2 linked regions of the Ovis aries genome follow. The protein of the gene in region 2 interacts with the protein of the main gene of each other region in a biochemical or structural test. Links are inferred from orthologs where the notes say so. Each region holds a gene or a part of one and is shown on either strand. Other genes may lie near its edges.

Region 1 (4,689 bases), on a different chromosome or scaffold from region 2:
AAACCTGGAAATAGATTATTTCCAGAGTGAATGAGTTGGTTCTATTTATTGCCTTCATATAACAAAGTTAATTAAACTTGAAGGGCAGAGTGTCACTTGTCCACATTCATCCAGCTAAAAAATAGTTTTTGGGCAGAAACTGGAGTTCTTTATGTGGTAACGAGTGAGACTCAATAAAAGCAACATGCAAAAAGGTGGAGTTATTGATAGATGGCAAGGGATGGTTCGATTAGCATAACTGGGACAGTGAAAAAACAAATTTATGGTAGAGAGATTAAGGGGTTCTGATTTGCTTGAGGAGTTTTAAACAGTGAAGTCACTTGGGATTAATAATTTCCAAGAGGATTGTGTGTATTATGTGAAGAGGAATTTTCCCCTCTTGAAGTGATAGTCTAGCAGGAGTATATTACAGAAGAGGAGGTTGAATTTCTATGAGGATATATATTCATGGGCTCAAGTCTCTGAATACTAATAAACTTGATGCTGTGAGATCCATTTTGTTTAAGTTGACTGATAACTGTAGGTAGAATGGTTCAAAATAAGAGTAGAACAGGTTTTTTATCAAGGACTATTTTGTTCTTAGCATTTTTTCACCTGAATGCATTTTTTTCCCCTCTCAGTTTTTCAGCTTTGTGAAGCACCGTATCATCAAAGACAATGGCCAGCAATGTTACCAACAAGACGGATCCTCGCTCCATGAACTCTCGTGTATTCATTGGGAATCTCAATACCCTTGTGGTCAAGAAATCTGACGTGGAGGCAATCTTCTCAAAATACGGCAAAATCGTGGGTTGCTCTGTTCATAAGGGCTTTGCCTTTGTTCAGTATGTTAATGAGAGAAATGCCCGGGCTGCTGTGGCAGGAGAGGATGGCAGAATGATTGCTGGCCAGGTTTTAGGTAAGATCTGGGTTGAATTAATTTTTCATTGATTATGTAATTCACATCTGGGAGTTCTTCTGTTCATGTTTTCTTTCTCTCCCTCTCCCTCTCCATAAAGCTGTTATTCAGAGAGGTGTTCTGCGTGTTATGTCTTGACATCAGCCTAATAAAAAATAAAAATAAGGTTTATAGGTCTAAAGAGAATTTTAGGCCTGTAAAATTTTACCATTTGGTGTAGTAGAGACTGGATAACCCTTAGTTGGCAGTCTTGAGTAAAGTAGGAGAGAGAGGAACAATATTTCATAAGGTACTTTTGCTGCCTAAAATGTCTGTGTCGTTTTGAACACAGTCGACTGGGTAAAGACAACAGGGCTTAGTCATGTGCTCTAGAGTCAGATGTATGTTAGGGCCTTACGTGTTGGGCAGCCTACATGGCTTTTCTTCGTTAAAATAATTGTGTGTGTGTGTGCACATGCTACCTTGGTTTATTATCTATTCTTACTGAAGGTAATACTACTATGTGGTTGTCAAGAGAATTTAGATAACTTGAGAGGGTTAGTTATTTAGATAACTTGAGGTGATTCATAATAAAAGGTTGTCTTATATTAGTTCCCCAGTAGGGTTCGCCTCTGATCTAGCATGTTTAAATTTTTGAGAAATGAGATCTGAGCTCTATTCAGATAAATTATATTTTAAACTTGAGATCTCATTATATGTGTTTCAGTCCTGTGAAAACTGTTGTTTGAAACTTGAGATATCTCATCTTTGGCCAGTGGATAGACCACCTTTAAGTTGGTTCCTGTGTCCTTGAGACCTTTCTCTTGTGATAATGCATTTCCCTTGCTTACTGCACCACAGGATATTCTGGGTCATCTGTGTATCTTATAAGAGTGTTGGCTCCTTTTGATGGGAATTATTTGGAAACCCACTCCCTGTATACCAGGAGTGTTTATTGAATTTTAATTGCATCTTGTTAGTTTCAGTGGGCAGAATAGGGGACACTTAGGTTTTTAAGAAAACAAAATGTCAGATTTTTATGTGTGCATTGTACCACAGCCTCAAGCAATCATAACTCTGTTTTTATTAAAATTATTCAATTTTGGATATTGACTTATTCTCTTGATGGAATAACACATGTTTGAATTGCATGACTTCACATCTACGTATGTATTACATTACTGTAAGAGCATTGGTAGAATCCTAGTGCAAAACCACAGATAATGGAGGGGCAACTGTAAATTTAATGCAGATTTTCCACTATCATGAAATAATTCTATGAGGTTGTAAAATCAGTTGGATACATAGTGTAGTTAATCTTGTTACTACATTTTTTAAACTGCTTTTAAAAAGTCTACCTTTAGTTTTATAAAATCTTAATGATTCCAAAGTCAAAATTGTAAAAGCAGGGTTGTTATAAACATTAATTACTAAAAATTAGAAATGAGTTTTTAGTGAACTACAGACTCTGAAGATTATTCATACTCTGAAGATTATTCATAAATGTAATGGTGTTTAGCAGATAAGACAATGTACTTAAAAGTCTTTTTCCAGTGGTCACTTGATGAACTGAGTTTTGGAGAGCTGGCTAGCTTTTATTTAATTGTTTTTTGAGAAATCGACTCGTCTGTTAAAAGGAACATGAATTCTTTGATAGGTAGTGGGTGGCATGGTGAGCAACTGGGCACTTTGGCATAGGTGTTTTAAAAATTATGTTGTATATGGAAACTAGATTTGTTTTCTTTTAATTCTTTCCCTTTTCTTGGAGTGTGTGTATGCATATGAAGATTGTTTACTTATAAGCAGTTCACTATACAGTGTTTATTTTTTTATGCAGCTTTTCAGTTTATCCTATTTGTAAGGAGAATAAAAATCCCCAGTTTCTCATTGAGGTATTCAAGTCGAGGGTAAAAGGTACTAAAGACAGACTTCGTATGTTTTGCCTTTCTGTTTTGTTGGTAGAGAACAGAGGACAAAGAAACGGAGGATTAAGTCCTAACCTTGTAAAAAAAATCTTGAGCCGATTTTATATAACAAGGAAAGATGAGATACATCATTTGACTTTTGTTTAATTATATGGCCATGTACACTCTAGAAAGATGCAGTTTGAGACACCTCCCTCCCAACAGAGTTGTCATTAAAGTTTTTTTTCCACCCCCAGATATTAATCTGGCTGCAGAGCCAAAAGTGAACCGAGGAAAAGCAGGTGTGAAACGATCTGCAGCGGAGATGTACGGGTCAGTACCAGAACACCCTTCTCCGTCCCCTCTACTCAGGTCCGGAACTTTATTATTTATAACTGCATTGTGTCCATCAGTGGGCATCTTCTCTATCTGTTTTCTGGATGTGGGGAGGGTTAACTGTAGTATGTTTTATGTATGTGAAAGGACTGCTTTATTAATTTTGTGTTAATATACTTCATTTTACCCCATTTCCCAGAGAGTTGTTGGAATTCCTGAGATTTTTTACTATTAAAGAGTAGTTTGGTATTTAAAGTGTTAGTTGCTCAGTCGTCTCTGACTCTCTCGCTATGCCATGGGCGTAGAGCCTGTCGGGCTCCTCTGTCCATGGGATTTCCCAGACAAGAATACTGGAGTGTTGTTGCCATTGCCTTCTCCAGGGAATCTTCCTGACCCAGGGATCAAACCCGGGTCTCCTGCATTGCCGGCAGATTGCTTACCATCTGAGCCACCAGGGAAGCCCTACTAGTATAAATTAAATTCCTTCAAAAGGAGTTACTTAGCTTCTGAGAAGCTGGGGAGGGAGTAAGAAAGGGAAAGAGGATGACATAAGAATGTTTAATTTACTATTGTGTTTTTCCATATTTTTATTTTAGCTCTTATGTGTTGGCATTTTAGCAATCTTAGCTAAATTTGTAGTTCGGCCACTATGTCCAGTGGCCTAAAGTGGTTGGAATTTAGTGATCTGTTGCTTAATGATTGGGCATTAGTCCATGCTAATCTGTTGATCTGTTTGTTGGGTTGGTTTAGGGTGGGTTTTTTTTTTTTTCCATCTGCTGTCGTCAACAGGTCCAAATTAATCCTCTCTGGTATTTGTTTTTCAGCTCATCTTTTGACTTGGACTATGACTTTCAACGGGATTATTACGACAGGTATGTTTAAGATGTTTTCTCTTCCAATTAGAGGCTGTCTAGTGAGAACCATTTATTTTTCTATTTTGTGGTAATGTTCTGTTTTGTAGTAATGAATAACAAACACGTTTTTAAATAAAAGCCCCCTCTTTTCTGTCAGAACATAATGAAAAAAAGTGTGTGTTGCTCAGTTGTATTTGACTGTTTGCAGCCCCATGGACTGTAGCCATCCAGGCTCCTCTGTCCATGTAATTCTCCAGTCAAGAATACTGACTGGAATGGGTTGCCATTCCCTTCTCCAGGGGATCTTCCTGATCCAGGGATCTAACCCAGGTCTTCTGCATTGCAGGCAGATTCTTTACCATCTGAGCCACCAGGAAGCCCAATGGAAAAATAACTTCCTGCAAATCATTAGAGTTAGACTAGATAAGGGTGATTTTTTGTTGTTGTTGATTTTATAGAATCAGTTTATATATATATTGACAGGGCATATGGAGACATGTCCAATATTTTCTGGACTAACGCTTTTTCTTGACAAGTCAGTTTTTTGTTTTAATTTGTGCCACATAAATGTAAGGACTGACTTGCCCAGTGATAAAGGGAATTTAATTAGCAGTCTCATTTCTCTGTTTTTTTTTTTTTTTTTGCATATTAGCTGTTTAGATTTGCATTATAGAAGATTACAGCAAAAATATAAAAAATGATTCCTTAAAATTTCAGT
Region 2 (5,393 bases):
ATACTTTTTAATAGGAATCAGATCCCACCACTCCTATCTGTGCCTCTCCAGGGCCTACAAGGCCAGGCCCTACCCATTTCAACTCCTCCCAAATCACCATCCTCACCAGGAGCACTCTAGCCACTCCGACCTTTGGGTTCCTCCAACATTCCTAGCCCATTCCTCCCCAGGGCCTTTGCCATACTCCCATCTTCTCTTTATTCTAAATTCTATTCAAATGCAACCTCCTCAGAGAACTGAGAGTGAGCTCTGGTCTCAGTCTGCCCAGACTGAACTTAATAGCTGGACATGTTGCTTACTCATGCTATGCCTCTGCTTCATCTGTAAAGTGGTGATACCTACAGTGTCTGCCTCACAGGATGACCACCAGGGATAGATACATGAAAATAGAGCCGCAAATTGACTGGCACAGTTTTCAAATGTTATCTATCACTGTACTTAATGCACCCCATCTTCACTTTCTATCTTCACGGCATTATCCGGAATCGTCTTTGTCATTGGTTCTGAAGCCCCGGAAGAGACACAGCTTCATAAACTTTGCTTTTCTTGCTCAAAGCTCTACCAATGTATTCTAGGAATGGCATACAAATACTTGTTGAATATATGAATAAAGCAATATTAAGGATTCCTTTAATACTGCCATGATTCAAAGAATTAAGTGAAAAATGACACTGCCTCAATCAAACAGATCTACATATACATAGATCCATCTACACAGCCTCACACAAACAGCCATCCCCAAAACTAAGGGCATGCTTTTTTCCAACTCCTTTTAACTTTTCTGAACAAAATGGGCTGTGTAGGAAGAAATGCTTAAATTTGAAAGTCGTGACCAAAACTCAAGAGCCAAAACACTACAGTTCTTATGGGCTACTTATGGGCTAAATTTCCATCATTTACCAAAGGAGACCTCAAATATAAGATTGATAGCGTTAATTTTTAAAGTTCCTAAATCTACCAAATATCCACTGCGATTTAAAATATTAAGAATTCAATTTTTAGCCATCAATTTAAGCCCTTAATAAATATGTTTCCCTCATTCTAGTAGTAGGCTTGTTTGAGTGCAGGGTGCTTGTTTTTAAGAAAGGCTTTATTATATAGGTATCCACATTTTGTGACATCCTGAACTTACGTTCAAGTAAATATCATGATACATCACATTAGTAATGACTTACGCAGCTTTCATAGACGCCACCAATGGTTATGAAATTCGCTAGGCAGACACCAAAGTGAATGAGAAGGGGAAAAGTCTAAGACGCTGCAGGCTAGTGCCCCAAAGAAAACAAACCAACGAGAACTGCTTCGTGATTTTATTTAAAGATGATCACGGACTATCCCCATAATACCAAATAAACCATAGAGTATTTCTTGCTCAAATGGAAGAGCGAAGCCACAAATCTAGGAGGAGGAGTAAAGATTCTGAACGGTAGTAGATTCTTCAAAATTAGAGGGAGGAAAGGGAAAGGAGACGCGGCGGCGCTCTGCGGTGTCGGAGCAGCTCTCCAGGAAAGGCTTCCCGGGCGCCGGCCGCTCCCACTCCGGTCCGCGGCCAAGCTGGAGGTGGCTGGCGGCTGGCACGTTTGAAATATCACCACCCTATTCATCTCCTCCCGGCACAATGAGGGGCTGGGCAGCCGCGCCGGGGACCGCCTGCGCACACGCCCACCCGCCCCGCGCAGCCCAAGACCCGGGCGCAGCCGCGGCTCAGCGAAGTCACGCTCGGCCCGGGCAGAAAGTTTCGGGGGAAAAAAAAAAAATCCAAGCGCCGAAACGCACAGGTCTCGGAGCTGAATTCGCGCCAGGAACACGCCCGAGGCAAACCACTTGACAACCAGCTCGGGTTTTCAGCAAAAAGGCCGAGAGGCGGGGGCCGAGGAAGAGGAGGCAACATGCATATACATACGTACGCACACACACACACACACACACACACAACACACACACACACACGGCTCCTCTTCCTCTAGCGCCCCGGCGCCCAGGTGGGAGCGATGCCGCAGCCTCACGCCCGGACGCGGCACCGGACGCCAGCGCCCCTTCCTGGAAGGCTCGCGACCCCCGGGGCCAGCTAGGAGAGCAAAGGGGAGGGTGCGCACGCCCCACGCCTCCTCGCCCGTCCGCCCCTGACGGCCGCGGCGGCAGGAGGCCGGAGAGGCCTGGGGTCCGGGGATGCTCAGCCGGGCGGCCGCGGGCTCGCGGGCGCCCCTCCCCCGCCCTCCCGCCCCTCCCCCCGGGCCGCCCGCGGGGCGCGCAGGAGGCGAGCGCCGGCGTCCCGGGGGATCAGCCCGCCCGCCCGCCGGCTCCAGGAATCCGGGCAACTTTCCCCTGCTCGGCCGCGGGCGCCCCCCGACAGGGCGGGGACGGGCGTCTGGGGACCAGCCCTATGTGGACTCACTTTTTCGGATGTTTCTCCCTTTTCGGCCTCCGCTTTCGGGCCTGAATGGCCAGCACTGAGGAAAGAAGACACACATTAACGGTCGGGCAGGCCGGCCTGCGGGGCCACGTGGCGCAGAGGAGGGGACGCTGTGGGCCACTCACCTTTCCGGGAGCTCATCCCGACGCGGCGCCGGAGGGGCGGGGGGCTTCGCGGCGGCGGCGGCGGCGGCGGCGGCGGCGGCGGCGGCAGCGACGCGGGAGCCGAGCCGAGCTGCAGCCTCCACTCGCTCCGCCGGCCGGGAGGAGGCGGGAACCGCGCCTGCGCCGCCGCCGCCGCCGCCGCCGCTCCCGCGGGGGGCCCAGAGAAACCCGCCCCCGGCCGGCCCCGCCCCCGCCCCCGCCCCCGCCCCCGCCCGCCCAGTGGGGTCGAGACCCCCGCGCCGGTGCCGCCCGCGCGCCCCGCACCCACGCGACTGGCCCACCTGCGCGGAAGTGACCCCACACACACGGCCACCGCCACTCCCTCCCACGCCTCCGCCGCCCGGGCCTCCGCCTCCTGCGCCCCCGCGGCTGGCCCAGGCCTCCTGCCTTTCCCCGGCACCCGGCCCGCGCGACCCTCCCCCTGCAACCACAGCCTCTCCCCTACCCACCCCGGCCGGTCGCGCCACACGTCTCTCCATGCGCTCTTCCCTGGCCCGCGCCTCCGCGGGTCTCACACCACCTTTCCTCACGCGGCCTCTTCTCCCCCTTTGCTCCTCTACATCCTTGCATCCCCATGAGCGCCACTTCCTCCTCTCCGGCGGGTGTGGAAAGGGCACAGGACCAAGAGCTGAGAAACCTGGGTCTTTCACTAGCTGTGTGACCTTGGAAAAGTCATTTTGTCTCTCATCTTTACCTACCCCGCAGGATTGCTTGAGTGTAAAGAAAAAGATGCAAACAGTAGGATTAAGTAGGATTACGCTTTTGCACAGGAATTAAAAGTCCAGTTCAATAAATGCCAAGTGTATAACAATTATAACCAAGCCACCGAGGAGTTATTCCTTACTAAGAGGAAATTGACTCCTGAAGAGGTTAAAAAGTTTACCCAACAATGATTCAAATTTAGGCCTAGGTGACTCTAATCAACTTGATTGGGGGAAAAAATGTTTTTGAAAGATACTTATCCTGATCATTTACTCTGTCAACTGTATTCTTAGCTCATCAGGGGAGCTAGTTGTATTTTAAAGATCCTTAAACCAACCTGAATAGCGCTGCTTGAACTTAAAGAGCTTTTTACAATACTTTCTTGATTTTTTATTTTAAAAAATATCAAAAGTACCGAAAAGTTGAGAAAAATATCGTGAACATCCGTATTAACCCATATTCACCAATTTTGAACATTTCCCCACATTTGCTTTCCCTGTGTGTGTGGAGGGGGTGTGTTGTTTATGATAAATCATTTCAGTTTTTTGTAGACTTTGTTACTCTTGAGTATCTACTAAGAACAAATACTCTCCGACGTAATCATAATTCCATGATCACTGCAAGAAAATTTAGTTATCATTATGAGTAACATACAGAGGCCATATTCAAATCTCCAAAATGTCCTTCTTAGTGGACCTTTTTCTCAATCTGGAATACAATCAAAGATCATGCATTACATTTATTTGCCATGCCTTTTTAAGCTCCTGTAGTCTAGAATAATCCCTAGTTTTGTTTTTTGCTTTAATAACATTCACCTTTTCTAAGAATTCCACTGTTTCCAGAACGTTGTTCAGTTTGTATTCATCTGCTCCCTATTAGATTCAAGTTAAATAATTTTTTGTCATCGACACTAAATAGATGATATTAAGTTCATTTTGGGGAGCGTGGTGGGCTGCCGTCTATGGGGTAGCACAGAGTCGGACACCACTGGAGTGACTTAGCAGCAGCAGCCCTAGCAGCAGTATCCTGCATCAAGAGAGATACAATGTCTGTACTATTATTGGTGATGTTACATTGTAATCATTACTCCATGGTAAAGATACATTTTGTTTCCTTTGTATTTAAAAAGTAGTCTGTGTGAAAAATGGGCAAGAGACTTAGACATTTCTCCAAAGATAAACAAATGGCTGACAGGTATGTGAAAAGATGATACATCAACATGAAATGATGTACAGCATCACTCAGTTCAGTTCAGTTCAGTTCAGTCGCTCAGTCGTGTCCGACTCTTTGCAACCCCATGAACCGCAGCACACCAGGCCTCCCTGTCCATCACCAATTCCTGGAGTTCACTCAGACTCATGTCCATCGAGTCAGTGATGCCATCTAGCCATCTCATCCTCTGTCATCCCCTTCTCCTCCTGCCCCCAATCCCTCCCAGCATCAGAATAGACAGATGTAAAGCAAAATCAAAATGAGATAGCACTTCACATCTACAAGCATGACTATAATTTTTTTGTAATGAAAAACAAGTGTTAGTGAGGATAAAGAGATATTGGAATACTCATACATTAGTGGTGGGAATGTAAAATGGTGCAATCACTGTGGAAAATTGTTTCCCAATTCCTCAAAAGCCTAAATATACAATAATCAGCAGTTCCACTCCTAGTTGTATATCCAAAAGAATTGAAAACAGGCATTCAAATCCTTGCACACAAATGTTCAGAGCATCACTAATCATAGTGGCCAAAAGATTAGAAACAACCCAAATATCCACCAGAATATGAATGGATAAACAAATTATGGTACTGACAAACAATGAAATATTTTTCAGCCATAAAAAGGAATGAAGTACTGGTAGATGCTACAATGTGGATGAACCTCAAAAACATTTATGCCAAGTGAAAGAAACCAGACTCAAAAGGTCATCTAGTGTTCTATTCCATTTATATGAAACATTCAGAATAAGCCAATCCACAGAAAGGAGATTGGTGATGGTCCATGACTGGGGGAAGGGGAAATAAGGAGCAATTGCTCAATGGATAAGGGGTTCTATTTTGTAGTGATGAAAATGTTTTGGAGTTAGGGAAAGGTGATGGTGGCAAAAGCCTGCACTA

Evidence for each region.
Region 1: of the proteins of SRPK2 (region 2) and HNRNPC, one has a biochemical effect on the other in vitro, tested with the Homo sapiens proteins (2 studies listed by BioGRID and IntAct). The link is inferred for Ovis aries from reciprocal best matches to the Homo sapiens genes SRPK2 and HNRNPC.

The regions. Positions count from the first base shown.
Region 1 is NC_056060.1:24,245,433-24,250,121, forward strand, and holds part of HNRNPC (heterogeneous nuclear ribonucleoproteins C1/C2), read left to right. Parts: intron 1-620; 5' UTR 621-657; coding exon 658-898; intron 899-3,038; coding exon 3,039-3,153; intron 3,154-3,941; coding exon 3,942-3,989; intron 3,990-4,689. UniProt on the Homo sapiens protein: Binds pre-mRNA and nucleates the assembly of 40S hnRNP particles. Interacts with poly-U tracts in the 3'-UTR or 5'-UTR of mRNA and modulates the stability and the level of translation of bound mRNA molecules. Single HNRNPC tetramers bind 230-240 nucleotides.
Region 2 is NC_056057.1:48,041,875-48,047,267, forward strand, and holds the start of SRPK2 (SRSF protein kinase 2), read right to left. Parts: upstream 3,175-5,393; 5' UTR 3,154-3,174; coding exon 3,027-3,153; intron 2,698-3,026; exon of another isoform or gene 2,555-2,697; coding exon of another isoform or gene 2,539-2,554; intron 2,451-2,538; coding exon 2,396-2,450; intron 1-2,395. UniProt on the Homo sapiens protein: Serine/arginine-rich protein-specific kinase which specifically phosphorylates its substrates at serine residues located in regions rich in arginine/serine dipeptides, known as RS domains and is involved in the phosphorylation of SR splicing factors and the regulation of splicing.